Linked DNA regions of Tribolium castaneum. The protein of the gene in region 1 purifies or fractionates together with the protein of each later gene. This does not show direct contact. Links are inferred from orthologs where the notes say so. Each region holds a gene or a part of one and is shown in the gene's direction. Other genes may lie near its edges.

What was found.
Region 2: the proteins of hypoxia-inducible factor 1-alpha (region 1) and yki purify together in Homo sapiens (affinity purification with western blotting; 3 studies listed by BioGRID and IntAct, with this or other methods). This does not show direct contact. The link is inferred for Tribolium castaneum from reciprocal best matches to the Homo sapiens genes HIF1A and YAP1.
Region 3: the proteins of hypoxia-inducible factor 1-alpha (region 1) and FASN1 purify together in Homo sapiens (affinity purification with western blotting; 3 studies listed by BioGRID and IntAct, with this or other methods). This does not show direct contact. The link is inferred for Tribolium castaneum from reciprocal best matches to the Homo sapiens genes HIF1A and FASN.
Region 4: the proteins of hypoxia-inducible factor 1-alpha (region 1) and armadillo segment polarity protein purify together in Homo sapiens (affinity purification with western blotting; 7 studies listed by BioGRID and IntAct, with this or other methods). This does not show direct contact. The link is inferred for Tribolium castaneum from reciprocal best matches to the Homo sapiens genes HIF1A and CTNNB1.
Region 5: the proteins of hypoxia-inducible factor 1-alpha (region 1) and Cul2 purify together in Homo sapiens (affinity purification with western blotting; 7 studies listed by BioGRID and IntAct, with this or other methods). This does not show direct contact. The link is inferred for Tribolium castaneum from reciprocal best matches to the Homo sapiens genes HIF1A and CUL2.

Annotation. Positions count from the first base shown.
Region 1 is NC_087396.1:19,215,439-19,222,697, reverse strand, and holds the start of hypoxia-inducible factor 1-alpha, read left to right. Parts: upstream 1-2,458; 5' UTR 2,459-2,501; coding exon 2,502-2,842; intron 2,843-3,790; coding exon 3,791-3,978; intron 3,979-4,030; coding exon 4,031-4,182; intron 4,183-4,233; coding exon 4,234-4,416; intron 4,417-4,467; coding exon 4,468-4,667; intron 4,668-4,721; coding exon 4,722-4,828; intron 4,829-6,033; exon of another isoform or gene 6,034-6,545; intron 6,546-6,592; exon of another isoform or gene 6,593-6,881; intron 6,882-6,921; exon of another isoform or gene 6,922-7,107; intron 7,108-7,259.
Region 2 is NC_087403.1:7,360,426-7,367,151, forward strand, and holds part of yki (transcriptional coactivator YAP1-A), read left to right. Parts: intron 1-5,004; coding exon 5,005-5,144; intron 5,145-5,311; coding exon 5,312-5,443; intron 5,444-5,501; coding exon 5,502-5,765; intron 5,766-5,992; coding exon 5,993-6,195; 3' UTR 6,196-6,726. UniProt on the Homo sapiens protein: Transcriptional regulator with dual roles as a coactivator and corepressor. Critical downstream regulatory target in the Hippo signaling pathway, crucial for organ size control and tumor suppression by restricting proliferation and promoting apoptosis.
Region 3 is NC_087394.1:32,849,195-32,855,920, forward strand, and holds part of FASN1 (fatty acid synthase), read left to right. Parts: intron 1-545; 5' UTR 546-565; coding exon 566-3,018; intron 3,019-3,067; coding exon 3,068-3,326; intron 3,327-3,586; coding exon 3,587-6,726. UniProt on the Homo sapiens protein: Fatty acid synthetase is a multifunctional enzyme that catalyzes the de novo biosynthesis of long-chain saturated fatty acids starting from acetyl-CoA and malonyl-CoA in the presence of NADPH.
Region 4 is NC_087395.1:16,174,428-16,178,439, forward strand, and holds the start of armadillo segment polarity protein, read left to right. Parts: upstream 1-1,212; 5' UTR 1,213-1,337; intron 1,338-1,372; exon of another isoform or gene 1,373-1,461; intron 1,462-1,677; 5' UTR 1,678-1,697; coding exon 1,698-1,731; intron 1,732-1,783; exon of another isoform or gene 1,784-1,846; intron 1,847-2,516; exon of another isoform or gene 2,517-2,627; intron 2,628-4,012. Other genes in the region: uncharacterized protein LOC660622, read left to right, coding at 1-138, 852-946. UniProt on the Homo sapiens protein: Key downstream component of the canonical Wnt signaling pathway.
Region 5 is NC_087401.1:15,830,245-15,836,514, reverse strand, and holds part of Cul2 (cullin-2), read left to right. Parts: intron 1-3,518; coding exon 3,519-3,923; intron 3,924-3,983; coding exon 3,984-4,238; intron 4,239-5,488; coding exon 5,489-5,869; intron 5,870-5,916; coding exon 5,917-6,183; intron 6,184-6,254; coding exon 6,255-6,270.

The DNA of each region.
Region 1 (7,259 bases):
CAAATTCTGTTATTAGATAATTTTTGGACTCTGATTTGGTTTTACGCACGGAAAGCTCGCAACAAAGCGTTGATGATCACAATTAATTAAAATTTATATTACGTTACTTTGTCTCATTTACCTTGATCAATGAGGTGATTCGAAGAACGAATGAGAAACCACAGTCTTCCTGTTTGTAATATTTCCATTCGGTTGTGTTCCGCTATAGTTCCGAGCTTTGAATCAAAATCATCCGTTTAGGCGTCAAACAGGATGCAACTCACCGCAAAACGAATGCATATATGCAATTGTCCAATTAATCCGATTTTAAAGATCAGGACTTGGTACTTGTCGAGAACTCAAGTGGTTACAGATTTGTAATTTTCTACACGTGTTTGGTATGAAAATATTCCGTTTTTTGATGCAAATTTTCCGTTTCTCTGAACGGTACGGCTGATTTGTGCAGTTGTCCACATCCGGTGGTTTGCGAACGTGTGCAAGCCCGATGGAAATAGCAAGAGCATTGAATTGTGATTGTATATAGCCTTGTATGTCTTGGACAGACGTCATCACTGATGTCGCAAAATTGCTTGGCGGGGCTGCAGACTTTGGATAATTTCAGTGACGAGTGATGGACATCGGAGGAATTTTGTTGCGTTAATCGACCGAACTAATGCTTTTAAAATTCGAAAATTTTTCAAAGTCGTTAAAAATAGATTAATTTTATGTTAAGTCATATTCGGAATTGATTACTTGGCGGTAAACAGCCGGTGTTCGAACCAAATTGTTCTAAATGTAACGTTTGGTTAAGGCTTGAATAGCCTTGATGCTTGTAATAAATGTCAAGTTTTTATCAAGATACTTGAAGGAACGGTAGCTAAAATCGCTCTTGAGGCACCAGGAGATTGACAGAAGTGATGCTAATCGTTGATAATCTTTGTGGACTAAATAAACTGACTTTGTTGTTTTCAGGGTTTTGGAAAAATTTTAATTAAAACTAAAGATTTTTCTCGTCAAGTGTGATCGTAAAGATAATGTAAAGTGATAGGTTTCGACATTTCGATATTTATAATAGCTTTCCGTCCCAATAAATTTTAATACGAATTTGGCTTGCGATAAGCGTATTGTTACATTGTATCTCTAGGACTATTAGTCTGAAGTATGGTCCAAATTTATCATCTGGTGATAGTACGACTATGATAATAACTATTCCGTTAGATTGAGGTCGTCAGACGATAGCAATTATTTTTGTACTTTACAATGCCTTAATTTTTCCCTTGAGTAAAAATCATTTTTATAATGTTTACTTTGTATAAGGTAATTGCAGTGTAACATTCCGTAAATATTTGGTTTGTAGTGCTATCCTCTACGGTGATTTGCAATAATGTCTAAGTAAGAATAATTAAAATAGTTGTTTTCCTTTTCGCACTTTGTTCATAAATAAAATCATCACTAAGACCAAGGTCTAGAAATGCTAAATTGCTCGAAGCTCCTTAGTATTTCGTGGAATTGGCTTATCAATCTCTTGTCTAATAGCCGGGATTGCTGTATTATTAACATGATTTGCATGTTGAAAAAACAGAGCTTTGATTTTTGTGTCGCTAAAACGTTACTTTTAGCACGTATTTCTTTAATAATGTGCTGCTTCTTAATTATAGTTTTCGTGGAAGCTGCGTGTCGTATTAAAATAAATGGGATCACACTTTCTCGATTTTAAGAATCAAGAATTATCTTATTTAATGTATATCGCGAATTAATTGAGGAATTGCCAAATGTTAGTCTTCCGTCCGAGTATAATTAGGAATAAAAATTTAAGTTTTGTTTTTATTTTCGTTCTGTTATACGTGAGTTCCAAAGTAAATGAGAAAAACCTTTCATCTTTTAACAATTTTTTTTTCAAAATTTAAATATGTAGTTAAGTTGACACTATCATCTAGAGATCTTTAAGAAATTCAAAAGTACAAAAAGCGTCTTTTTTGCAATAATTTTTGAAGGTTTCACTGTTCGAAACTAAATGAAAAAATTCATATGCTAAGAGAAAAATATAAAGTATTTAATAGGAAACGCTGATTTCTTCCCGACTATTGGTTTTTAAGTTATAGTAAAAGCTACTTTAGCAAAAAAGTAAATAAAAGTAGCTTATTGAAAGGGTTCGTAAACGCTCAGAGATAGAGGGGTTTCGAATACAATCTATTGGTTATTTTCTCTCACATTTGCTATGTTTTATTCATGAATCCCAACTGTTACTTCAATAACGTTATAAGCACAATTGAAGATTCGATAATATGGCTATTTGCATACCCATAGGGAGGAAAATCTAGAGACGAAATGTATGCTTTTTAACGAAAAGCTGTTGATAACAGTTAAAAAAATCAGTAAATATGATTTTCAAGTGCAAAAGATTAGATAAGCCACAAGACAGTACTTAAGCTTACGGTTAAGTTAGTATCACCTCGGCTAAAACATAATGTAGGTTAAATTCGCGTTTTTAGGCACGTGTCAGTTCAATATTTTGGTGTTTTATGAAAAATTTCTCCACTTTTAACGTCACTAATCGACAGTTAACTAAAATGGAGTGTAGTACTTTTCCACAAGACGGTGTCGCGGTTCAACAAACTTCACAAATGAGCCCTTACTTGGGAAATGTGAATTGTGCGACCAGTTATGGATTAAATAATGCAACCCTTGAACCGATTCCAAATCGACATAACAGTCGGATTAGACCTAATGGTCTCCTGGCTCGCATGGCCTTACCGTGCCAGTCGTCCTCCAATTGGGATTATACAGAGTGTTATAGTTATTATGCAGATGGGTGCTATAACACTTGCCAGTTTGTTGAATTTGGTGATATTGAAGACTTCATGTAAGTGGCGCAGCTGGGCAAATATGCCGCGATAACAGCGAGAAATAATTAAAAGCATTGTCTTGAAGGGACGTCACTTTACCGGTTGGAAATAGTTAATTTAATCAATTAGATAAAGGTTATGTAATCGATTTTCGTATGCAGAGGGCAAACTTTTGTAAGAAGAACACTTGAACTTTTATACAAATGTTCACCAATAGTTTAATTATGACAATTAATCAGTCCAATTAATTTTACTATAAATTTTATTGTTGCGGCAGTAAATAGTATAATTAGCCGATTGACATTAGAGGCTAGATTTTATCAATTGATTGTAGTTTAAGTGCCACTATTTTACTATCTCCACGGGTTTTTGTGTAACAATGGCTAGACAGTAACTTAAAAAAAAACGTAAAGAATCGCAAAAACACTTCCTAGGATTTATTAACGGCACCGATATTTTCCTTATTTTGTTTGTCTATTTTTTTAATTCAATTTTAGTTTATTGTTGTCTGGAAGTTTTCATTCAACAGGTGGTCGTTAATGTTTGCGGTTTTTTTAAAGTCGGTTGTAGAGGAAGTGGAATAAAAATAATGTCTACTTTGTCATTGTAAGATTATGCCAATTTTTATGAAAAGTTAGAAAGGAAAATAAATTAATGACTAGGCATATTTTTAATTATATGCATCGCTTTTATTTTTATACATTTTATTAACTTATTTATCACAATTATAAAATCACATGATTAGTTCGTTTTTTGTGGTATTCTTGGATTAAGTCCAGGCACGGGGTCTGTCATGTGTTTTCTCGCGAAACTTTCTTATGAGTAGTTTGGGCGAACACTTAATGATTAAATAATCAAATTTTAGTCGAGTGGTGGTAGGAGCCTGAAGAGTTGTGTGTTTATTTTAGCGAAAATGTTAATACTTGTTTGTTGCTTCGTTTCGCTTAATTTTGTTCTTATTCCAGGAATAATGAGAAACGTAAGGAAAAATCCAGAGATGCGGCGCGATCTCGTCGCTCCAAAGAAACCGAAGTTTTTACCGACTTGGGTAACGCTCTGCCAATTTCACAAGAACAGGTTTCGCAATTGGATAAAGCTTCCGTTATGAGATTGGCCATTGCATATCTGCGGGTGCGGGATATGATCACTTTGGGTAAAACGTTCTTCCCCAGTTTAAAATTCCGCTTATTTAACAAAAATTGCAGTCCCGGAAGCCCCGGAGCCCGACGACCACAAAATTTTAACCGATGAATCAATTTTCTTGAAAGCATTAGAGGGGTTTTTACTGGTGATGTCTTCAGAGGGAGACATTGTTTACATGTCTGAGAATGTCAGCGAGTATCTTGGAATTACACAGGTGGTTTGGAAACGTGAGATTTTGGGCAAGATGTTTGACTTTTTCTTCCAGATTGATCTGATGGGTCAGAATATTTTTGAGTACAGTCATCCGTGCGATCATGACGAAATCAAGGAAATTTTATCAACAAAGACCCGGGAAGAAACAGAGACGCCTAAGTCGTTTTTTATCAGGCTTAAGTGTACTCTTACAAGCAAAGGCCGATCGGTCAATCTCAAATCAGCGACTTACAAGGTACTGAGCTGAAAACTGTGCAGAGAAATTTTGCTAATTTGGTCAATTCAGGTCATCCATTGCACTGGTCACATAGTGCAAACTGAAGATGACGGAAATGAAGAAAATGCGAAAGGAACTTTGCGCCGATGTCTTGTGGCAATAGGACAACCTATTCCGCATCCTTCCAACATCGAAGCCCCATTACCACGTCAAACATTCTTAACAAAACACAGTTTGGATATGAAATTTACGCACGCTGACGATAAAATGTGTGTATTATGTTTACCAAAGTGTTAACGAGGTTTTTACGTAAATTGTTACAGAATGATGGATGTTTTGGGATACGATTCGGAAGATTTGGTCGGGAAATCGGTTTATGACTATCACCATGCCATGGATAGTGACGCGATTTGTTCAGCTTTCAAGTGTTGTAAGTATTTGATAAGAAAAAATTGTGTAATTTACAGCATTTGCACACTTGGTCTGGCAATTCAAAATAATCACTGCTGCGGTTATTAGACATGCACTGCGAATTATTTGTGCAAAGATTGGGCATATTGCAGTTATTTATTTTTAAAGCCGGGAGGAGCAAATATTTGGTGACGATTTATTTAGTTTTTTATACTGTCTTCCCATAATCAGAAATTGAGAGAAATTTTAAGTGTGGAAAACAAGCAGGAATGTTGCCTGAAATGCCCATAAAATTATCTCCCCATTTGGTAAATGTGTTTTCCTGTTTAGTTTGTTTTCAAAATATTTCACAAGTTTACACAATTTCGTATATTACGGTAGGAATCTTCTCTATTAGCAGTGTTGGTATGTTGCGTTAGGTGGCGTTTTTGCACCTAACTGGATTAAACTTTTTGTTTGATTTTCTGATGGAAAACAAATTTAAAAACAGGTCAAAGAACGCTCCAACAGTAATTCATATTAATTTTTTTTTAAGAAAAATAATCTGCTAAGGCCATCACAGTTTTCTTTAAGCGACTGAACGTTATATTTTTTAATAAATAAATAATAAAACTGTTGAATTTTGAACACAATTTTCCAGGTAATTGTTCAATTAAAAAGTAATAAAACTAAAGTAAAAAAATATTCGTTTCATTGAGCTATTTGTTGTAACAGTTTTCTTTAGCTATTGCTGGTATAAATCACCTTTAGCACGTGAATCAGAACAGGGTTTCAAACCATGATAATTTTTTCGTTATCTCGAGGAAGTTCAACAATTGGGCACTTACGTAACGTAATAAATCGATTATATTACATTTTATTGTTTAATTTGCTCAAAATAAAATCTCGATAAAGTTTAAAGCTGGTACTTACAATAGTAAATACATATTTTGTCAATTGATTTGTTTAGTTCATCGCAGTTTTTAGGGTTACGAAAAGTATTACTTGCTTACTTTTCGCTTATCTCCTTCAAAATCGTAAACGGTTGAGAGAATATGATGAGTTCTTATTTAACTTTTATCTATTTTTATTTATGTAAGAATGGGCTCATTTATTAAAATCACGCTGGGAATGTATGACTTCAGTTGTAAATTACAAGCTGTCTCAAATTCTTGGCAAAATGTTCATTTTTATTTTCGCAGATTCATAAATGTTGTTTGGAAGGCAATGAACGTGTTAAAGGAGTTAAAATTACACATGTATTTATTTTTATTCCCATACTTATAAATAATAATCTGAACTAATATTAAAATAAAACGTAATTTACAATGTTGTGTTTCAAAATACTCGGATTTGATAAATGAACGTTACATTAAGTGTGAAATAATTCCGCTACATTTATCATTTATACAGGAACCAAAACAGTGTACAGAAATCTTAAACATTTGCACTTGTGCTAGAATTTTATTGGGACTTGGAATATTTTGAAAGTAAAAGTTACAGCTTAATAATAAAAAGCGCAAACATTGCACAAACGACGATATAATTTGTGGTTACTTGAGAGTTGCCAGAATGTATTGAAGTAAAATTGGTGAACGTGTTATTAAAAACACTTTTACTACACGTAAATGGGGATTGATCGGTTTCTGATAATTTGACGGGGTCACTGCTCAAAGTTGTTTCATTTAAAACACGTTTAACCACACTCAAATCATTAAGCTTCGTATTATTGTATTTACTTAACACAACTAGCATTTCTGAAATTTTTATTTTAATGTTTGTCACTTAAGAGACTTTTACTTACGGTAACTTGTGTCGTATGTTACATTACGACAGGTCCAAATTACACCGTAATTGCTATAGTCTGTCGTGAGTATTTTGGCTGGGATGGTCTTATTATCTATGTGCATCTCACACTCCATGCCGTGTGGATTTTTTTGCGCCAAAAGGCACGTCGTATACTTATAGCCATCTTTTTTCGTGCCGCTGAAGCGCGTTACATTTGTGAAACTACCAGAAACGGGCGTGAAAAAATAAGTGGCACATTTATCCGGACTGCCATATTTCGCCACTTCGTACCATTTGCCCTGAAACTGAAAGAGAAAATGGTAATTCATTACACTCGATATTTACCTGATTGAGATTGAAATTGTAATTACTGATATTGTACGAGTTGCAAGGTCTGTGCACAAATTTTTCACCGGATGAGAAAGAAATTAACGTCAAAGTTAGCACGACAGTGTGCTTCATTTTGAATAAAATTTCTCCAGTGTTATAAAAGATAACGTTACACATCTTATACTCGTGTTCTGTGTCATCTTGTTTGTGTGAGAGGTAATTACTTCAGTAAACAAATGTGCAGATTTTATTGTTTGTTGAGTAATGGTGCTATCACCTGATTCTTTTGAATTGGAGCCAATCTACGTGAACTTGTGTTTACGAGTTTCGTTTAATTTTATTTTACATACCAA
Region 2 (6,726 bases), on another chromosome or scaffold:
TAGCGCACTTTATTAAATCATTGTGAAATGTAGGGTGGAAAGCTTATTTTTACGTTCCGTGGCGCCAGTTAAAGCCATTTTGTTCGCTCAATTGTCAAGTATCACATAGGGGTCATTAAATAGGGTGCCAGCATGAGAATAGTTTAATAAAATAGATTTATATGCAAATAACACAAACGTGGAATGCTGTTTTACAAACTGTACTCAGATCTAGCGTTACGTTGTTTTTCTCGAAAATTCAAATGAAATGTTTTAACTCGGACTCAGGTAAGCCAACAACACGAATATCTTTTTGATATATGCTAGAAGGAAAGCGAAGGTCATCTCGTCTGTTGATACGCCATCTTGCTCTTCTTTCGACTACTCTATTTCCAGCATTTCGCATCGAAATCTCTCGCTTCTCGCGATAATAACTGGGATAGGTTTCAAGCTCACACATGGATAGGTTTCAAAAATATAAGGTCATTCGTATTATGATGTAACGGTAGTAACAACGTAGCGCAAGACGCAGCAAACACAAAACACACCTGAGATTAAATTCGAACTTGGAGAGTTTTCTGATAACGGCGGAAATAAGCCTCGTGTTACATAATTGCGCGATTTTCAGGTGCGTGATAACATTATAAAAGCGCACAATACGCATTCCTGTGCTGGGAAAATAAGTTTATGGTCGATTGAGCGAAATTTTCATCTATGCCGATTGTTAAATATTCATTGGCGGGACATAATACTTTGAAATGTATGCAAAATGAGTGTTTTGGCACCGCAATTGACTTGTAGATTGTCTATGGCAAAAATCCCACCGTCTTGCATAAACAAATGACTCTCGTTTGTGTGAATATTGGCAAGAGTTCGAGTCCGGCCCTGCACATGAGTCAGTTGTTTTGTTTGATTGAAACAAATCTAGTTTTTCGCGTGATTCGAGTCGAAAATCGCACATTTTGGCAGTTAGGGCTTCTATTCCACATCCATGTAATTAGTCGCCGAGACGCCTATTTTTAGATTTTAAAATTCTAGGCGCCTAAGTCGGACGTCGAACCTTTTGCCGAATGCACAAGCAAAATAATGAACTTATTTACACTTCTAGCGTCTTATTTATTTGTTTTATTGCTCCACACGTGCGGACCAACTTAATTAAACCAGAAGTGAGCAAGAGGTGTTACCCTCGCCAACTGCGGGACCAAATTTCGAGTCAGCTCATTTGAGCTGTTTCAAACTGGAACAAAGCAGTAGCTAATTAAGAAATTAGCCCTGTTTGTCTTAAAGAACTATTATCACTAATTATTTGTGGTGCGCTCTATTTATTTTAATTCTGTTACATGGTTACGGTCTCGCGTCGGGAAAAATTCGGGCCTTCGTCGGCCATGAAAACTTCACCTCCCGATCGTGTATGAATGAATTAATTAAAAGTAACAGAATACGTCTGTTATGGTTACGAAACGTACAAATCCTTTCACAACGATGGTGGACTTCCGTACGAATTATTAATCCAGTGTTTGGCACGGTCGGCCATTTTCCATGATGGCGTCTGTTTGTATTTTTTCCCAGTGAGTTAACCTTAACCCGTTTAAAATTTACCGCTATTATAAATAAATTCCCAAGCTCGCGAGTTTTAAATCAGTTTCCTATGTTCGCAGCAAGGTGATGAAAAGCCATCCCGCGTCCCTGTTATCAAATCACAAACAAAGGTCCTTGACATTTAAAATATGTCGCTGAAGTACTGTATTTTATTTATGTGTAGTTGAATAAACTAACGGAGCTAATGTCGGCTAAATTTCTCAAAACTTGTAGATTGAATTTAAATTGGAATTTAAAATTTCTGAACGTTTGTACAACATTTCTCTGAATAAATTAAATGTTCTGTTTTTACTTGAAATAAGTGTGGCTATATTGTGATATTTTTAGTTTGTGGCGGTATTTTTATCCCGGAAAACCATTGGCGTCGCACAACATGTGACGGGGAATTCGATAATTAACTAAATATGGACTTTTACCAAATCGCACTTTCTTTTCCACAATTGCCTCATTAAAAACCGCGCAACTTATCGATATGTAATAGGCGTGAATTTTTCATTTAGTGGATAATTGCGTCAGAGGCCGGGTTCGAGCGCCGGCTAATTTGTTATTATCAGCTGCTACATCCACTTTCCATGTGATCGCGCTTATCAGATTTTTCGTATCCTGTTGAGACCCATCGAGGTTTTGGGAGTAAAGTTCAAACTTCACAGCATCTAGATTAATGCTGTGTTTTGGTTAAATTAAAATTGATTGGTGGTCTTAAATGGTATCTGACGCATTGATTGTTGAATGTATTTTTCAGAGAGGCAAGTACACGTAGGTATGTGGTGGACTGTTATTAAAATCCACCCAGATGTGGATTCCACTCCTAGGTATTCTCCATTGTCTCGATTGCAAACACGGGTCTTTATCCCAATCAATTATTAGAAAGTAAACGCGATATAACATATCTTTCCTTTGTAACATTTTTAAGGTCATCGCATTCGAGAATAAATAATAAATAGTTGCTCCTTAACAAGAATAACAATTTACAGTTAGGTGCCGTATAAATTTTTCCAAATGATTAACGTCCACTTTTGACCAATTAATTAACAATTGCGCAAACTGCACTGATAAACTCCTGATTAAGGTAACGCTGGCGCCACTGATTCCCACTTGCCGTTGCCGAAATACAAAGCGACGCCATGTTGCCGTTCAATTTACATAATATGATAAAGCAAAACTTTGGCTAATAATAGAGATTTATTTTATTGGCACTGGATCATATTTTCTCCTATTTTCAGTTTTTACAACCACGTGTCACTTCCTGTTGCCTGGCTTGGCCTTTAAAGGTCGATATATCCATGTATCATTGAAAACAGGTAGATTTCTACTTTTTCAATGACTCAGTGCCATTCATTTCGTCTTCCAAGAATATTTGGCAAATCGTTTGTAGAAAATACGTTTCAAGAAAACTTTCCAACTCTCCTCATTGATTTCACCGAACTTCACATTTTTTCTTTCTTTCTTTCGCATTTTCAAATTAAATTAAATCAATTAAATGGGCATGTATTAGGGTGGCTCAATTTCACTCAATGCCAGGTCAAGGGGCGCTCTTATTTACACTACTGATAAAGTTAAAAATAAAACAAGTGTTGCGTTCGACCAAAAATCGTGTGAACCTGACTTTTTCATTACTATTGCATAATTGATTGTAAGGCTTAGGGATAAAAATATTTGCTCGTTTTATGACGTGGCTGTTTGTTCTTTTTTAAATTTATTACCTTTGTCAAGATTTCATATCGCCACGGTTTAATCTTTCCGTGGAATAGAGATAATCAAGTGTTTGTTGTAGCACTTATCAATTAAAAAACGAACAATGGGGGATTATCCACTTTCTGTGTGACGTTTCACGTAAATGTTTGTTTTCCAAACAAAATAAATTGCTGATCCTACTACTAATCTGTATTTTAGCCATTTGTCTGAAAGTAAAAAACTATTACTATTTTTTGTTATATAACGTCTTTATTGTCTATGTGGCTTTTCTCGAAATTATTTGTTATTCTACATTATGTATATTTACACTTCTTTTTTCTTCTTTTCCTTCACCATTTTCGTTTAGAACGTCTAACGTCTCCGTCTCTTCTCCACGTAATCTGCATATTCTGTCTCAATCCATAATTCCATAATTCGTTCTCCCTTTCCTCACTTCCCCTTTTTATCTTTACTTTCCATCTTACTTAAGTATTTGGAGAGTTCATCGTTAATAAGCATGGCATATTTTGCGTTATACCTCAATTCTCTTATGCTTGTTATTTTTCCCTGCCCATCTATGTCCGCATCTCTCAGTTTCAGTTCATCTTCCATTGTTCTTCCCCTTTCTTTCAATTTCTATACACGCATACCCCTTCTTCCATAATTCTATCCATCTAACATTTTCATTTGATGTTTTCATTTCTGCTCCGAATTCCTAATTTCTCTTCAAATTTCACAGCTCTCTTTCCTGATTCCTCTCTTACTATGTACCCCGGCAATTAGCGCTATCACTCATTTTATATACTTTTTCACCAAGCTATCAAACATCATTCTTCTCTTGTATTTTCACCAAATTGACGTTTTCCCAAGCTCCTAAAACCTTATTTGCTCTTTTGGAGCTTCTTTTATATGGGCTGTCTGACATCTTGCTATTTACTACATAACCCAAATACTTCAACTCTTTCACCTGTTCTATATTTTTTCCTTCCAATTGCCACTCATCCTTTTTCCTTTCTATTTTTTTTTTCCAAACACCATCATTTTTGTTTTATCTACTTTTACTTTACGTATCTTTTCATTATTTTTATCATTTCCTTCATCTCGCTCTTGCTTTTTGCTACAATCGTCTGCAAACGCCAGGATTTGCACTTTCTCTCTGCCTATACTGTTCCACCAACTTGTGCCTTTCTTAGAACCTCGCCTATGTCCCCTAGGCCTGATAAGAATAATGCAGAGCTTAACGAACAACCTTGTTTCTTCACCAATTTTTATTTCTTCATAAATTTCCTCTTATTCTTCTCACCAACCACTTGCACACCTTTGGATTATTTTGCTTATCATGCCTCTTCCATGCATTTCTGCTCTTAGTCTCTCATCTAGTAAACAGTAATATTTTTCGCTTGATGTTTGTCCCCTTTCTTGTAAATTGGGATAATTAGTCCTTTTCTCCAATCCTTGGGCAGGTAAAAAACTGAAGGTTTTTGTTGGTTGCTTTATTACGTACTGAATAAAGATTGGTGATCTTGAACGTTATTTCGGATAAACAATGAAATATTTTGGCACTGTGGTGGACTCTTGCGAATACCGTGGCTTTTGTTTTAAGTTAGAAAATGAAATTCTCCTTAAAATTCAATTAGTTTCGCATCTTTCTCCACTTTGGAGCGGTTTAAGAATGCCATTAGTTTGTTGGTCGGTAAAACCCTTTCGCATTAGTGGCAAGCACATTGTTTTACGTTGGAATTGCGTTTGCAGCCACATAACTCGGACCACAACTTGGGAAGACCCGCGAAAGTCGCTGGCTGCGCAAGCGGCAGCCCAACAACACCAAAGTGCCGAACAGCTTTTAAGTTCTCATCAGGTGTCGCAGGCCCAAGCCCCCAATTCCACGCCCCGTAAGTAGTTTCGATGGTTCTGCCAAATCTGGTACAATTTGATGATAGAGCCAAATGCAGTTCAAAAAAATCCAAAAGTGGCAGCTCGTGCCTTGTTGAAAGTTTTGAACTCCATTTGCTGATTTGCCTGATCCTGATAATTAAATTGGGGAAAATGTTTTCTCTAGCTGCCAAAGTGAGTACAGACGTAGATTTAGGCCCTTTGCCTGAAGGTTGGGAGCAGGCACAAACTCCTGAGGGAGAAATTTATTTCATAAATCATCAAACACGTACTACTTCGTGGTTTGACCCTCGAATTCGTAAGTTAAGCCACACGGGCGGGAAAGGGGCTTTTTCGATCTGGGATTTTTTTTCCAGCCACACATTTGCAACAGAGATCTCCCGGCACGGCTTCGGTTAGTGGGCAGTCGTGGCCAAGTGGCTCTTTGTCGCAATCCTCGCCGGCTAAACAGCAACAGTTTCGACTACAACTGTTGCAATTCGAACGTGACAGACTGAAATTGCGACAGCAAGAAATTCGAATGCAACAGGAACTTATGATGCGGGGGAGTTCCAACGACTTAGCGCTAGACCCCTTTCTGAACGACCACTCCAGGCAGGAGTCCGCCGACAGCGGCTTAGGTAAATTTTTTGATTGTTGGTGGGTGTTTTCGCGGCGCGGAATGTGCGAGAAATGTTGTTTTGCTTTGTTTACACCGATATTTCCAAATGATTATCATTTCATACTGAAAAAGAATGTGCGAAGCTTTAAATTTGGCTTGGCGCCATTTTGATCAAGAATTCGGTGTTTTCGTTGATCAATAGCGTTCTGGTCACGCAATTCTCCCCTAAGGGTTATTGACTTGCAGGTTTGGGGACGACGTATTCGATGCCTCACACGCCGGAGGATTTTTTTGATTGTACGGAGGATTTAGTGCCTTCGCTCCAACTGGGCGAAGAGTTCCCGACTGATTTGGGCGAGGAGTTCCCGACTGTCATTTTAGACGATGATGTACAATCGTTAATAAATCCGCCGACTACGAAGCCCGACAATGTGCTCATTTGGTTGTAATAAAGTGCCTACTTAAGTAGCTCAGCTTCTACGAATGTTTTATATTGATAGAAATTTAAGACAAAGTTTGGCAGTTGGATGGTAAAGACTGTCGTCTGTATCGTTATTTTGCAATATGTACCATTTGAATACGCTTTAAATGGCAATAATAATCAAAACATATTTTTAATGTTATTATAATTTTACATTTATCGCATTTGTAATTCTCAAATCAGTTACTGTTGGGTATGTTTTTCATACATATGTATTTTATAGTTTGTAATTTTTAAGTTAGAGTTGTAGTTTATGGTGCAGATGATATTTTGTCAGTTTTGGTAAGATATCGATCAAATTATTGAGTACTGAACGCAAAATTCAATATTTATTTATTGTTGTATTAGAGTTAATTATTTAACAATTTTTATTTATGTCATGTATAACTTTTAACCTCTGTTCCAAATCTAACGTTGTGATAATGTTTTCGCAAAATTTTATTAATTGGTAGGAATACTTAACTGTATCCCTATTTAATTTTACTTGTTACTGTATGTG
Region 3 (6,726 bases), on another chromosome or scaffold:
CAGTCGTAATAATTATACAAAAATTTATGGTTACGGCCCATATAACTAGGTTCTTTAAGTGAAGCCGAAGTACCAAAATTTGGCGTTATTTTCCCAATTGAACTTTAATCAAGTTCCATAAAATTTTACGACTGGAAATAGTGTCAAGTCTTGTAAAACTGCAAAGTGTACTCACAAAACATCGACTTAAAAATATAATTGTGGGAACCGTTACGCGATTTCTGTTACGCTCGTAATTATATACGCCAAAAAATTTACAGTTTAAGGAACGACAGAACCGAAAGTTAAACTAGAATAAGAGAATTTGTTATCATGCCCTGTCAATGTCAAAGTCAAAAAATATTTACATTTATTTTGATATTTAATTGAACTTTAAGAAGAACACACTAAATTATGATCATTTGATTTGATAGCGTATCAGTTTTGAAGCTCGCCTCAAATAAAAATAACCGCTCGGAGTTTCTACGACTTCTTTATGAGCCAATTGCGCGTCACATCCTCGTCCATTGTTGCAAAATTGTGAAGTTATTGTTGAAAAATTTCAGAACTTAATTTATTAATCACGATGCCTGCCCGAGTCCCCGATGCACAAAACGGCCACCACGTAAACGCAATCAGCGACGACATCGTCATCACCGGAATTTCCGGCCGTTTGCCGGAAAGCAGCAACATCGAAGAATTCAAGCAACAATTATTCGATGGTGTCGATCTAGTAACCGACGATGCACGACGATGGCCTTCAGGTCTCTACACCCTCCCGGCCCGCACCGGCAAACTCAAAGACTTGTCGCGATTCGACGCCACCTTCTTCGGCGTCCACCACAAACAGGCCACCGTGATGGACCCCCAGCTCAGACTTCTCCTCGAACTGACCTACGAAGCGATCGTGGACGCCGGAGTCAACCCCAACGACATCAAGGGCTCCAAAACCGGGGTCTTTATCGGGGTTTCCGACAGCGAGTCGTCCGAATACTGGACCCAAGACCCCGACAAAATCAACGGCTACGGCCTGACCGGCTGCTGCCGGGCCATGTTTTCGAACCGAATTTCCTACACTTTTGACTTCAGCGGCCCGAGTTATGCTCTAGATACGGCCTGTTCCAGTAGTTTAGTTGCCTTACAGCAAGCCATAACTGCGATTAAAACCGGGCAATGTGATGCCGCCATAGTTGGAGGTGTTAATCTCCTCTTAAAACCCACGTCTTCGTTGCAATTCCACCGACTGGGCATGCTGAGTCCGCAAGGCATGTGCAAGGCATTTGATGCCTCTGGGAATGGTTACGTGAGGTCGGAAGCCGCAGTTGTTGTCTTTCTGCAAAAAGCCAGTGTTGCGCACCGGGTCTATGCTACTGTCCTTGGGGCCAAAATAAACACAGACGGTTACAAGGAACAGGGGATTACATTCCCGGCCGGTCCCATGCAAAACCAGCTCATCCGAGAGACTTATGCCGAGTTTGGGGTCGACCCCAATGAGGTTTCGTACGTGGAGGCCCACGGCACCGGCACCAAAGTGGGCGACCCCCAGGAAGTCAACTCAATCGCTGACTTTTTCTGCACCAAGAACCGCAAAGAACCGCTCATGATCGGTTCGGTTAAAAGCAACATGGGGCATTCGGAACCGGCGTCCGGGCTCTGCTCCCTAGCCAAAATCGTGATAGCCATGGAGTCCGGAATGATCCCCGGAAATTTACACTTCAAATCGCCAAATACCGACATTCCCGCCCTCTTAGACGGTCGACTTAAAGTCGTGGCGAAAAACGAGCCCTGGAAAGGCGGGCTGATTGGTGTTAACTCGTTCGGGTTTGGCGGAGCCAACGCTCACATTATCCTGAAATCGAACCCAAAGCCGAAGGCGTCCTGGCCCACGGACCCACTTCCTCGAGTGGTGGGCGTCTCCGGACGCACCCCTGAGGCGGTAAACACGTTCCTGGACCATGTCGAGAAGAACAAAAACGACGAAGAGTTCCTGGCTCTAATCGACCAAATCCATAAAAGTAACATTACTGGACACGCATATCGCGGGTTTACGGTACTCAGTAACCCGGCGCTTCGCGAAGTTACAGAAGTCTCGAATGAGAAGCGACCAGTTTGGTTCGTGTTCAGCGGGATGGGGTCGCAGTGGCCCGGCATGGCCAAGCAACTGATGGAAGTGGAAGTGTTCCGAAACTCGATCAAACGAAGCGCTGAAATCCTCAAACCCCACGGCATCAACCTGGAGGATATTATAGTCAATGGAACCGAGGCGACTTTCGAAAATGTCCTCAACTCCTTCGTGTCAATCGCCACCATGCAGGTCGCTCTAACCGACGTCCTCAAAGCTTTGGAAATCGAGCCCGATGGTATCGTTGGGCATTCGGTGGGCGAAGTCGGTTGTGCTTACGCCGATGGGACTTTCACGGCCGAACAGGCCGTCCTGGCGGCCTACGCCAGAGGCAGAGCCATCATCGAGAGTAAACTAATCCCGGGACAGATGGCTGCGGTCGGCCTGACATGGGAGGAGGCCAAGAGGCGTTGCCCGCCTGATGTGTTCCCCGCGTGTCACAACAGCGAAGACAACGTTACAATTTCCGGACCTCTGGACGCCGTCAATAAATTCGTAGATCAATTAACATCCGAAAATATCTTCGCCAAGAAAGTCAACAGCTCGAATATCGCATTCCACAGCAAATACATAGCCGAGGGTGGCCCCAAGCTACGCAAAGCCTTGGAGGCGATCATCCCTAACCCGAAACCACGAACCTCACGCTGGATCTCGTCCTCGATCCCTGAATCGGCCTGGGGCACACCTCTCGCACAGCAAAGCTCAGCGGCCTATCACGTTAATAATCTCCTATCACCCGTTTTGTTCCACGAGGCGCTTAAACACGTCCCTGAGAACGCCATTGCTATTGAAATCGCACCAGCTGGGCTTTTGCAAGGTATCCTCAAGCGTGCCATTGGGCCCAAGTCCACCAATATCAGTCTGGTGAAACGGATGCACGAAAACAATGTGGAGTTTTTGACTTCGGCAATTGGACGGTGAGTTGAAAATTTTGGTAAAAATTTAGATTTTTGAACGATTTCTTAGGATTTACAATGCTGGGGCCCAGCCTAAAGTTGGCAATTTGTACCACCCTGTAAGCTTCCCGGTCGGTAAGGGAACGCCCATGATCGCATCCATGATCCAGTGGGACCACTCCACCGAATGGGCCGTGGCCAATTTCTGCGATAAGGGCTCAAGGTCTGGGGAATTGGTCATCGAAGTTGATTTGAGCAAAGAAGATGACCAGTACCTGGCCGGTCATGCGATAGAGGGAAGGGTGCTTTTCCCGGCCACGGGTTACTTGGTACGTTCTATAAATTTTGCATAAGAATCAGTAAAACAAAATTAACCAGCCGTAAAGTAAGTTTTGGAGTTTGCTGAAAGTAAATGTAAAGATACGCAACTAACACCTATAGTCCATTAGAAATAATTTATCTTTCAATAGACACTTTGTTCTTGACAAGATATCAGTCAGCAGTGGCAATTTTATTGTTATAACTATCTAAAACACCAACTTTATGTAAAAAATAATTCTTTTAACACTGACTTTATTTTGTCCCTTAGACCCTCGTATGGAAAACCTTCGCCAAGCTGCGAAACGAGGACTACGAGCAGTTGCCCGTCATCATCGAAGATGTGCAATTCCACCGCGCGACAATCATGCCAAAAGAGGGCACTGTCCGATTCCTCATCAACATTTTCGAAGGAACTGGCGAATTCGAACTGTGTGAAAGTGGTTCCGTTGCCGTCTCCGGCCGCATTTCCGTCCCTGAAGACGTCTCCAAGGAACTCCTGCACTTGCCCAAACCCACCCCTGAAGTAACCAAAGACTTACTCCCCTTGAACACCGCCGACATTTACAAAGAACTGCGACTACGCGGTTACGACTACGACGGAGTTTTCCGCGGAATTGCCGAATCCGACAACAAAGGAATCGCCGGAAAACTCAAATGGAGCAACAACTGGATCAGTTACATCGATACAATGCTCCAATTCTCCATCTTGGGGCAAAACACCCGCGAGCTTTACCTCCCGACTAGACTGCAACGATGTGTGATCAACCCCAAGGAACACCTCCAGTACCTCAATGGCCTCAAAGAGGAAGATCCCAGTGTATACATGTACCGCAATATTGGGGTTATCAAATCAGGGGGTATTGAGCTCCGCGGAATGAAGGCCAGTTTGGCCCCCAGACGCCAACAAGCACAATCACCACCCAAATTGGAAAAATACCAATTCGTGCCTTTTGAAAATAACACAGCACTCAGCGAGAATCAAGACAAGGCTAAAACGCATGCCCTTACTGTTCTTTTGCAAACGGTGCTCGAAAACAGCTCAGGGGCCCTGAAACTCAAAGTGGCCGAAGTTGTGAGTGGACGACCGGTCGAAGCGATTCTAGCACCAAGTGTTAAAGATATCCTCGAACGGGAACCTATGCTTGCAGTTGACGCCTCTGTAGTAACCTCTGATTCAATTGATAGCGCAGCTTTGGAAAGCAGTGGAGTTAAAGTGGTCCACAAAGACGTTAGTTCCAATCCAATCGATCAAAACTTGCACCTTGTCGTGCTAACCGATGCGTTAACACACGGCAAAATTAATTTGATTGAAAATGCCGCCAACTGTATCAAAGACGGCGGGTTCGTGCTTCTGGAAGAACCCAAAGGGGCCATTAACAGTGGCAAATTGTCAACAACGGAGCTCATCGTAGTGAGTACTCAAGTCACGCCAACGAAAAGCTATGTCTTATTGAGAAAACCGGTCGATGTTCGTTCTGACTCAACTGCAATCCAAATCACTGAAAATAATTTCGCGTGGGTGGAACCTGTCAAAGACGCGATGAAGAAGAGTGAAGGTGACGGTAGCAAAATCTACTTGTACGTCCAAGGGGAAGAACTCACTGGGTTAGTCGGAATGGTCAATTGTTTGAAACAGGAGCCAGGCGGTGTTGGGATCCGAGCCGTCTTCATCCAGGACACAAACGCACCGAAATTTTCCCTGTCAGCTTACGAACAACAATTGAAAAAAGATCTGGTCCATAATGTTTTGAAAAAGAACGTCTGGGGCTCCTTCAGACACATTTTGCTCGACCATGACCACGACGGTGGCAAATTACAAGTGGAACACGCCTACATTAACACTCTGACTCGGGGTGATTTGTCCAGTTTGAGATGGATCGAAGGCCCCTTGACTTACTACAAAGGCGGTGACGCCAAATCCGAGCTTTGCCACGTCTATTACGCCCCTCTTAACTTCCGTGACATTATGCTAGCGACTGGGAAACTCCCACCGGACGCGTTACCTGGCGATTTGGCCGGACAGGACTGCATCCTCGGTTTGGAATTCTCGGGACGGGACAGTAAAGGACGAAGAGTGATGGGGATGGTTGAGGCACGGAGTCTCGCAACTACTGTGATTGCCGACACTGGATTTTTATGGGAAGTCCCGGAGAAATGGAGTTTGGAGGAAGCCGCAACAATTCCAGTGGTTTACGGTACAAGTTACTACGCCCTTATTGTGCGCGGTGGCATGAAACCAGGCGAGTCGATTCTCATCCATGCTGGTACCGGTGGTGTGGGGCAAGCATCCATTGCCATAGCCCTCCACATGGGCTGCAAGGTTTTCACGACAGTGAGCAGTCAAGCCAAGAGGGATTTCCTCAAGAAGACGTTCCCGCAACTTAACGACGACTGTATTGGAAATTCGCGTGATACAAGCTTTGAACAAATGGTTTTGACTCAAACCAATGGCCGTGGCGTTGATTTGGTCCTCAATTCGTTGGCGAATCACCAGCTGCAAGCGTCCGTGCGGTGTCTGGCAATCGGGGGCCGCTTTTTGGAGATTGGTAAAGTCGATCTTTCGAACAATTCGCCGCTGGGTATGAGCATCTTTTTGAAAAATACCACGTTCCATGGGATTCTCCTTGACGCGTTGCTGGACAGTGACGGTCCCGATAAGCGCGAAGTCGTCCGTTTGATTAACGAGGGCATTGCCAACGGGGCTGTGAAGCCGCTTCCAAGCACCGTTTTCAACGAAAATCAGACGGAACAAGCGTTCCGTTTCATGGCCTCTGGCAAACACATCGGTAAAGTCGTCCTCAAGATCCGGGACGAGGAAAGTCGCAAGGCGCAGCGCCCTAAACCCAAGACCGTGACTGCCATCCCTCGAACCTACATGGACCCGGACAAGAGTTACGTCCTCGTGGGCGGCTTGGGTGGTTTCGGGCTCGAACTAGCCAACTGGCTCATCACACGTGGTGCCTCCAAAATCGTGCTAACGTCCCGCAGTGGGATCAAGACCGGGTACCAGTCACTGTGTGTGAGGAGGTGGCGCGATTCAGGCGTAAAAGTATTGATTTCCACCGCTGATGCCACCACCGAAAAAGGGGCCCGCCGTTTGCTGGAAGAAGCCAATGGTTTGGGCCCAGTTGGCGGTATTTTCAACCTTGCCGTGGTCCTCCGGGACGCCATGATGGAAAACCAGACCGAAGCCGACTACAAAACGGCCTGCAAGCCCAAAGTCGACGGCAGCAAACAACTGGACGCCGCCTCCCGTTCACTAGCGCCACATCTCGACTATTTCGTCAACTTCTCGTCCGTTTCCTGCGGACGGGGCAATGCCGGACAATCAAACTACGGCATGGCCAACTCCGCCATGGAGCGCATCTGCGAGGCGCGGCAAGCGGCGGGACTCCCAGGTGTGGCCAT
Region 4 (4,012 bases), on another chromosome or scaffold:
GGACCATCATGGGCATGACTATACCACGACATGGTCATGCTGTTGCGTATGTTGGTACCCAGATTTTTATCATGGGTGGTGTCACAACCATTTATATGAGATGTCTATCCAACATTGAGTGTTTTTGTTGGAAGCGAGGTAAGTGAAAACTAAATGAGAAAGTGGGTGTCAGTTTATGAGGGAAAATCATAAAAAGCTGGTTACTCGGGAGAAATAATATACCTCAAGAGCTTGTCTGTTCTCTCTTATTTCACTTCATGAATTTTTAAATGAAATTGGAGAATAACTCGGAATAAAGAATTTATGAATTACAATACCTAAAAAGGCAGAAAATAATTAACTTGAGAGCTTAAATTATGGAAAACACCCGATAGCAAGAACAGACTTGTGTGGGCGCAAGAAATAATTTGTCGTCGTGTACAGAATCCAACAAAGTTGGGAGTAATTCTGATTTAAGATAATATAATTCAGAGTCGAGCGTTTTGTCACACCATTTCCATACTTAACTTTCTAAAACTCATTCCAAGTCGTAAGTTTATTATTCACGTTTTTCACATATGAATGCAAATGCGGGGACTTTCATACAAAAGCGTGCAAAGTTTTTAAAAATCTCCACATTCTCAATGAAACAAACAACTTCTATTTTCCCCATTTACAGTGCGCCAAGTTTGCGTTGGCTTAATCCAAAATCCATACTACATTATGTAAACTTTGTTTTCGTCTCACATTACCCAAACAAAGCTTAATACCGCTTCCGTAGTGAATAAATTATTAAGCTTCATAGTCTAGCCTGATAAAATGGCAACGTCGCACTGTGTGAAAAGAAAATTGCAACAGTGTTAATTTTTTAGGTGCTTGGATAAGGGGCATTGCCGATTTACCGGTGACCTTATCAGGTCACGCTGCTATCACTCTTCCTCCCGCCATGCTAATTTCAAACGAATAAGTGATAAAAACAGGAAACAATATTTGATGAATTAAAGATTCCTGTCGTGGGCGTTGAATGAGTGCGGCATCTGATTGGGAGATGGCGCCGCGCTACTTGAAGTACTTTTACACCATAACCATAGTTTAGCTTTAGAAATTATAAATTTAGCGTTTTTTTATACTCTAATGTTGTATTTAAAAATGTTATACACGACCGTACATTTGCTGCTTTTTTGATACATGAAATAAAGATTTTTACCTTAAAATCAATGATTTTTCCCTTTGACATTTCAGCATCTTGTAAACAGGTCTGCCAGCCAATCTGATATTTGTGATTGGGTGCGGTGTTGTTGTGTTCGTTATCGTATATTATCGTAATTTAAAGGGAAAAAGTGATTTTGTGGCGCAAGGTAAGTTATTTCGGTGTAAAATTATCAATTTCATTCATTTGTAAGTGTGAGAGTGAGTTTTTTGTGTGGTTTGGCCAAGTTTTAAAAATGTCGATGAACTGTGTATGACAACATGGATCTCTTTGTGAGTGGGTGATTCTGATTCTGATTTAGTCCGATGTCTGATCGGTTTGTGATTGCAATCTTTGGAAATTGTGATCGTTACACAAACGAAGCGTCTGGTGTTTAATTAAATGTTTCGGTTTGAAAGCACGTAACGATTCCTCATCCGGCAATTCCTTGTCACTGCTCGAAATTCCAATGAGATTGGTCATGAGATTCAGAGAATTCCATGTTTCAGGTGTGGTGTGGTAATTCGCCATGAGTTACTTACAGTCCAACCCGAATAGACCCAGTAAGTTGCATTCTTGTATTTTAATTGTTTGGTGTTAATTAATTATAATCAGTGTGTGAAGGTTTCGTAAACACTTATTGAGAGAGGTTTCCAGTTTGATAAACATCCTTCAAATGTAAGTTTATTCGGTTACAGTCAAAGGTTACAATGAGAATTCCCTTTAAAAACCATTCCAGATGGTGTGTTTATAATTGGATTGTTAGAAGAAGTTTATTTCCTCTGCAATAATTCATTGTTTGATTATTTTCCACTTTTTCTTGTGGAGGTTTCGGTATCTATGACCCCAGTTGTGACTAAGAGCCTATTATTCATACAAATCATACATTCTCATAAAAAAATTAAGAAAAAATTTGTGTATAATACATGGGCTTTCTTTACTCGTTCTAGAGAAATAATCTTTAAGGAAGTACCATACTATTATATTTTATTACAATTTAATAAGCATATTTATTCCATTATTAGTTAGTACAAGATCTTCTCTTACATAGAAATAAAGAGTTCTTAGAGTATATTCAACATTTAGCAAGTATTTGACCCTTTTTTTGACTAGATATCAGTCTAATAAGCCTACAGAACATGATTGTATGAAAATATTGGAGTCGTTTTCCTAAAGTGAAAACTTTTTCTGTGTATTTGGTGATCTTTCCGAAAGTAATTTTGCTGCTATCTCGTATTTTTAGTATCTTTTATTTACATGTATTCGTTCTCCTGAGTAACTTTTTAACCATATATTAGATACGTGGTTAGTATTGGTATGATTCAATGTTTAAATAAAATACAGATATGTTGATAACGATAAGCAATATACCTGAGTAACGGTTTTGTACGCTAACATTGAAAGAAGCAAGTGTTTAACTGTTTAAATTGCAATTGAATTTTCTTACTAACTCTACAAAGTAGGTACAATTTATTTTTGAATTATTACTTATTTGGTTACAGTAGCATAGTTTATTTTAGTTTATTCTTATATTCTAGTTTATTCCTATGAAGTTACAAAATTGATTTATCGTGTATGCCAAAAGTTGCGGACAGGCACTTACGGCTGAACTATCCGAAGAGGAACTGTTCAAGCAAACGCGTAAACGCAAAATTTGTAAGTTCAAATTGCTTGAAAAAAATATGTTAACTTTCTGAGAACTTTAGCAACAATATACATCCATTTGAAAAAAATTGTTAGTATCATTTAAAAATAAAATGAAAAAACCTCAATTTTTAGTCATTTTATTTTTTTAATAAAAAATGGTACTATATTTTTTGATAATTTTTTTTGTGGGTATTTTATGACTTACTTGTAATACTGTATTTTTTCATACTATTTGAACTTTAGGTTTTTCCATAAAAGCATTAAGATTATTACGCTGTTTACCCCGTTATAACTTGGTTACAAATATTTAAATCGAGATAAGAACTGGTCCATGAGTAATATGTTAACCTAGGAACAACATCCAATTGTAAAAAAAAACAATTTTGTTTATTATTTTTCTTAAAAAAATTTCTCAAATTAGTGCATTCGCACGGCCACGTGGACCGTGAGTCCAGTATAGTTCAACCTTAAGAGCTATACAAAAATAAAATTAAATAAAAAGCGATACAAAAATTCACAAAACCTTTCGTTTTGTAAACAAAAGTTGAAATAAAAAACAAAAAGTGACAACGTCGTAAGAGAATACTTTATTGTTACTTATTTAGAAAAATTGTAACCAAAAGTATTATCATAGTAATATTTGTTATTGACTGCACCTTTAAAATTGTGTTTTTAACTCATTTCAAAAACCAAGTGAAATGTTTTCTTACAATTTTTTTGAAAAAAGTTGGATAATAAATCAAGTAAACATTAAAATATACCATTTTTTGTTAGTAACAATTTTACGCCTTCTTTTTAACATTTGAATTCTAGATTACACTATTTTAAAACACGCTTTCTAAAGCAACGTGTTTTAAATTAAAATGTTCCAACAAAAAAATTGAATAACTTTGGCAGCTGTTTGGAAATAAACGGCCAAGTTTTATAGTTATTAATAATACGAGTACAAAAACACAAGCTTAATGTTCTCTGGTGTTTAGGTATGCAACTCGCATACGCTCGTTGCATAACGACAGCTCTCGAACATTAAGCTTGTGTTTTTGTACTCGTATTATTAATAACTATAAAACTTCATTTTGTTCATTTCCAAACTGCTACAAAACATTTAAAAAATCCCATGCTACTTTGTCTGAGTGAAAAAAAAATCAACCACACTCAGGGATTATCAAGTAAAATAACTAAAAAAAGATTAGGAAA
Region 5 (6,270 bases), on another chromosome or scaffold:
CTAGTTTTGGTGATTTCTTAGTTTATTTATTCGAAAAACATTGTTTCTAACTAAAAACGTACTTGAAAGCTTGAAAATGTCAAAATAATATAATTTTTTGTTCAAAAACTTGCCAAAAAGCCGCGAAATCAACCTAATAATGCTGTTTTAATAAAGTTTCGCCTACAAACGAACTAAATCAAGTTAAAATAACATCAGTTTCAATATAATTTGGTGGTTTTTCTGCAAGTTAATTGGAAAAAAAAAGTTTTTAAGTTAAAATACGTGGTTAGAGGCTTGAAAAAGCACAAAATAACTCGATATTTTTCGTCTAATTTGGTGATTTTTCGAGATTTTGTTAAGTAAAATTTCTGATATAATGGATTTTTGACTAAAAAACGAGCGAAATTTTCGAGGAATGCAAACAGAAAGTCACTTTTGACTTTCTTTTTTGCTCAAAAATGAAGTAAATCGTCTTAAATAGGCCAAGATAACATTAAGTTTGATCTAGTTTTGGTGATTTCTTAGTTTATTTGTTCGAAAAACATTGTTTCTAACTCAAAAACGTACTTGAAAGCTTGAAAATGTCAAAATAATATAATTTTCGGTCTAGTTTCGACTTTATTTTGTTTTTTTTTTTGGTTTTGGTTTAGTGAAATTTTGAAAACACCTAGAAATTTTTGTTCAAAAACTTACCAAAAAGGCGCGAAGTCAACCAAATAATGCTTTTTTAATAAAGTTTCGCCTTCAAACGAACTAAATCAAGTTAAAATAACATCAGTTTCAATATAATTTGGTAGTTTTTCTGCAAGTTAATTGGAAAAAAAATGTTTTTAAGGTAAAATACATGATTAGAGGCTTGAAAAAGCACAAAATAACTCGATATTTTTCATCTAATTTGGTGATTTTTCGAGATTTTGTTAAGTAAAATTTCTGATATAATGGATTTTTGACTAAAAAACGAGCGAAATTTTCGAGGAATGCAAACAGAAAGTCACTTTTGACTTTCTTTTTTGCTCAAAAATGAGGTAAATCGTCTTAAATAGGCTAAGATAACATTAAGTTTGATCTAGTTTTGGTGATTTCTTAGTTTATTTGTTCGAAAAACATTGTTTCTAACTCAAAAACGTACTTGATAGCTTGAAAATGTCAAAATAATATAATTTTCGGTCTAGTTTCGACTTTATTTTGTTTTTTTTTTTGGTTTTGGTTTAGTGAAATTTTGAAAACACCTAGAAATTTTTGTTCAAAAACTTACCAAAAAGGCGCGAAGTCAACCAAATAATGCTTTTTTAATAAAGTTTCGCCTTCAAACGAACTAAATCAAGTTAAAATAACATCAGTTTCAATATAATTTGGTAGTTTTTCTGCAAGTTAATTGGAAAAAAAATGTTTTTAAGGTAAAATACATGATTAGAGGCTTGAAAAAGCACAAAATAACTCGATATTTTTCATCTAATTTGGTGATTTTTCGAGATTTTGTTAAGTAAAATTTCTGATATAATGGATTTTTGACTAAAAAACGAGCGAAATTTTCGAGGAATGCAAACAGAAAGTCACTTTTGACTTTCTTTTTTGCTCAAAAATGAGGTAAATCGTCTTAAATAGGCTAAGATAACATTAAGTTTGATCTAGTTTTGGTGATTTCTTAGTTTATTTGTTCGAAAAACATTGTTTCTAACTCAAAAACGTACTTGATAGCTTGAAAATGTCAAAATAATATAATTTTCGGTCTAGTTTCGACTTTATTTTGTTTTTTTTTTGGTTTTGGTTTAGTGAAATTTTGAAAACACCTAGAAATTTTTGTTCAAAAACTTACCAAAAAGGCGCGAAGTCAACCAAATAATGCTTTTTTAATAAAGTTTCGCCTTCAAACGAACTAAATCAAGTTAAAATAACATCAGTTTCAATATAATTTGGTAGTTTTTCTGCAAGTTAATTGGAAAAAAAATGTTTTTAAGGTAAAATACATGATTAGAGGCTTGAAAAAGCACAAAATAACTCGATATTTTTCATCTAATTTGGTGATTTTTCGAGATTTTGTTAAGTAAAATTTCTGATATAATGGATTTTTGACTAAAAAACGAGCGAAATTTTCGAGGAATGCAAACAGAAAGTCACTTTTGACTTTCTTTTTTGCTCAAAAATGAGGTAAATCGTCTTAAATAGGCTAAGATAACATTAGTTTTGATCTAGTTTTGGTGATTTCTTAGTTTATTTATTCGAAAAACATTGTTTCTAACTCAAAAACGTACTTGATAGCTTGAAAATGTCAAAATAATATAATTTTCGGTCTAGTTTCGACTTTATTTTGGTTTTTTTTTTGGTTTTGGTTTAGCGAAATTTTGAAAACACCTAGAAATTTTTGTTCAAAAACTTACCAAAAAGGCGCGAAATCAACCAAATAATGCTTTTTTAATAAAGTTTCGCCTACAAACGAATTAAATCAAGTTAAAATAACATCAGTTTCAATATAATTTGGTGGTTTTTCTGCAAGTTAATTGGAAAAAAAATTGTTTTTAAGTTAAAATACATGGTTAGAGGCTTGAAAAAGCACAAAATAACTCGATGTTTTTCTTCTAATTTGGTGATTTTTCGAGATTTTGTTAACTAAAGTTTCTGAAATAATGAATTTTTGACTAAAAAACGAGCGAAATTTTCGAGGAATGCAAACAGAAAAGTCACTTTTGGCGTTGTTTTTTGCTCAAAAATGAGGTAAGTCGTCTTAAATAGGCTAAGATAACATTAAGTTTGATCTAATGTGGTGATTTTCTAGCCTTATTATTCGAGAAACCTTTGTTTTAACTCAAAAACGTGCTTAAAAGTTTGAAAATGTCAAAATAATATAGTTTTCAGTCTAGTTTTGAGTATTTCGTATTTTTTATTTTTCATTCAACTTAAAATAACTTAAAAACTCGATCTAATTACGTGATTTTTCCGTCCGTTTATTCGAAAAAACTTTGTTTTAACGCAGAAACGTGCAAAAAATACTCGATTTTCGGCGAAATTTGATGATTTTTTGACTTATTTTGTAAATTAACGACCGAAAAGGGAAAATCATAATATAATTTCCGAACTAGTTGGGTGTTTTTTAAGCGATTGTCGAAATTTTAGTTATAAAATGTACTTAAAGGCTTCAAAAACTTAAAAAAAACTCATTTTGGCGTATTTCTGAAGTGGTCGTTAATGAAATTTTGCGAAATATGTAATTATTTCTGACTTAAAAGTAATCTAAAACTTTGATCAAGCCAAAAAGGCCAAAGCTATCGGTTTAGTTCGTAATTTTTCGCTTTGTTTTTGCAAATCTTGCGTAAAAATAACACCATTACCGACCAATTTTTTTGACAAAATTTCGCCTAAAACGAGTGTTTTTTAAAGCTCTTATTTAACTTGCTTATTGTCTTATCTGTCTGTTTAATTTTTCTGACACAAATTTGCGAGAGTTCGTGTTATTCGAATGTGCTGTAATCTTGCATACATACGTAATTTTGAATGATTTTTATTTTTCTAACAAAATTTTTCACAATAATTGAAAACAGGTGCAGGGCTACAAGAAAAAGGGCCAACTGCAACTGTACCAGGAGTTATTTGAGGAGCCGTTCCTCAAAGAAAGCGGCGAGCATTTTAAACGCGACGCTGCCAAACTTTTGCAAGAGAAAAACGTCTCCCTGTATATGGAGCGCGTCAAGGGACGAATTGAGGAGGAACTGTTACGTGCACGTCGCTTCCTCCACACCAGTTCCCTCCCGAAAGTCTCCCAACGATGTGAAACACACATGGTGGCCGAACATTTGGACTTTTTATACAGCGAATGCGTGGCAATGGTACAGGGTGAGCGCAAAAAGGACCTCTCAAATATGTACGATCTGCTCAAAAGCGTCCAAAATGCAATGGTTGTGCTTGTTGATACCGTTCTGGACCATATTAAGACGCAAGGATTGACGGTTTGTTGCTTTTACACGAGTGGTTTACCGATTTAGGGATTTTTTTATTGTTGTTCTTAGGCTGTTGGTAATATTGATACCGAAAATATTCACATAACGTTCGTCGAAAATATGCTAGCGGTTTATAAAAAATATAAATTGTTGATTCAAGAGGTGTTCAAGTCGGATCAGAATTTTATGGGGGCTTTGGATAAGGCCTGCAGTTCCGTTATTAATCACAAGTTTGGCAAGCCTGTGTGTAAAAGCCCCGAATTTTTGGCCAAGTATTGCGACGCATTGTTGCGCAAGTCGAGTAAAGGGATTAGCGATTCGGAGGTAAGTTTGATTTTTTTTCTTACTTTTACTTAAAAACTTTTATTGTTTTTATTTATTTACTGTTGAAGAACTGATTAATTTTAAATAACTTTGTTGTCAAAAGTTTTATTTTGAGATTATTCGTATTATTTATTATACAGGGTCTCGCAAAAAAGTGCATTAAAAATAAATTATAAATAAATAAATAAAAACACAAATCAATACGAAAAAAAAAACACTCACCTTAGGCATCTACTTCTGCTACCCTTTATAGCAAGCCTCATCTTCATACACGAACTTACTGAAATTAAAAAAAATCTATATAATTATGGTAACAATAAAATTAATCTAAAAATACGAGTAACTGGTTTTATGTAGAAACTGCACTTAAAATAATTGAGAAGATTATGATTTTACTTATTTATTTATTAGATATTGTTGTGAGTCAAGGCTATTTATTTAAGTTAATCCTCAAAAAATAAAAAAATGAAAAAAAAGTTTAATGTACAAACCAATGAAACTAAAATTACAAAAGAAATAAATTAATTATATAAATTAAATGTTTAAACTGCTCATTTAATTATTAATTATTCAAAAATTCCGTGTAATTTTAACCTGGGACGTCATTAATTTAATTTAATGTAATTTTTCTGTAAAAAAATTTTTCAAACTAACCCTTTAATCCGGATCCTTGTAACACGATTTCAGAGATCTATTCCAATTGGCATTCACTATAATTAAAAAATCGCGCACTATTTATTTAAACACAAATTTAAAAGTTAGCAAAATGTTGATTTTTTTAATTTAATTTCTAAGTTTATAAGACGTCCGTACGCGACACTAGCAAGTGACAAACTGATTAAAATAAAACGGCACATCCGTAATAATTGTGTAAGAATATCCGGATAAAACGTCACTAACAAAAAAAATATTATCTGCAAACGTGTGAACAAAGAGATTTGGTTGACTCATTGGTTGTTGTTACGGCAGTTAAAGTTAAATTTTTGAAAATATTCCTTGCTGTAAATTAATCTCCCAACGTTACAAATCCATAAAATTTGGAATTTTAATTTAATTTTTTTAATAATAATAAATAAAAAAAATTGGAAAATCAAATTTTTAAAATTCGATTTTCCTGTTCGTCAGGAAAACTCAAAAAAATTGTTTCCCGCGTTGGTCATGAAAAATAAAAAAAATTGTATACCGCGTTGGTCATGAAAAATAAAAAAAAATGTTTACCTCGTTGGTTATGAAAAAACGATTATTTCCAGGTGGACGAAAAGCTCGCCGAGAGCATAACAATTTTCAAATATATCGACGACAAAGACGTATTTCAAAAATTCTATTCTCGAATGTTGGCCAAACGCCTCATCCACCAACAAACGCAAAGTATGGATGCGGAGGAGGCCATGATCAATCGTTTAAAACAAGCATGCGGTTACGAATTTACAAGTAAATTGCATCGAATGTTTACCGATATGTCAGTGAGTGCGGATCTCAATAATAAATTTAACGCATTTTTGAAACAAGACAACATCGACCTCGGAATTAATTTCAGTATATACGTATTACAAGCAGGGGCGTGGCCATTGGGCCAGACGGTGACCACGCCTTTTACGTATCCTAGACAACTGGAGAAGAGCGTACAAATGGTGAGATGGTACACATGTGGGCGTGGCTTAAAATGATTCTCTTACAGTTTGAAAATTTCTATCATAATAGGTTCAACGGTCGCAAATTGACATGGTTGCATAATTTGTGTCAAGCGGAATTGAAGTTGGGCCATTTGAAAAAATCGTATCTAGTGACAATGCAGACGTTTCAAATGGCCACTTTGTTGCTGTTTGAACACACGGATTCGCTCACTTTTCGCGAAATTAGGGAGAGTTTGCAACTAACCGCCGAACAGTATCACAGATACGCGGCTAGCTTGATTGATTGTAAATTATTGATAGCGGATAGTACGGTAGGTTGGGCATGGGGGCGTGGCCGGAGGCCAAGCCCCCATGATCTTCTCGTTTTAATTGGCTAGTTTAGGATTTGAAACCGGAAA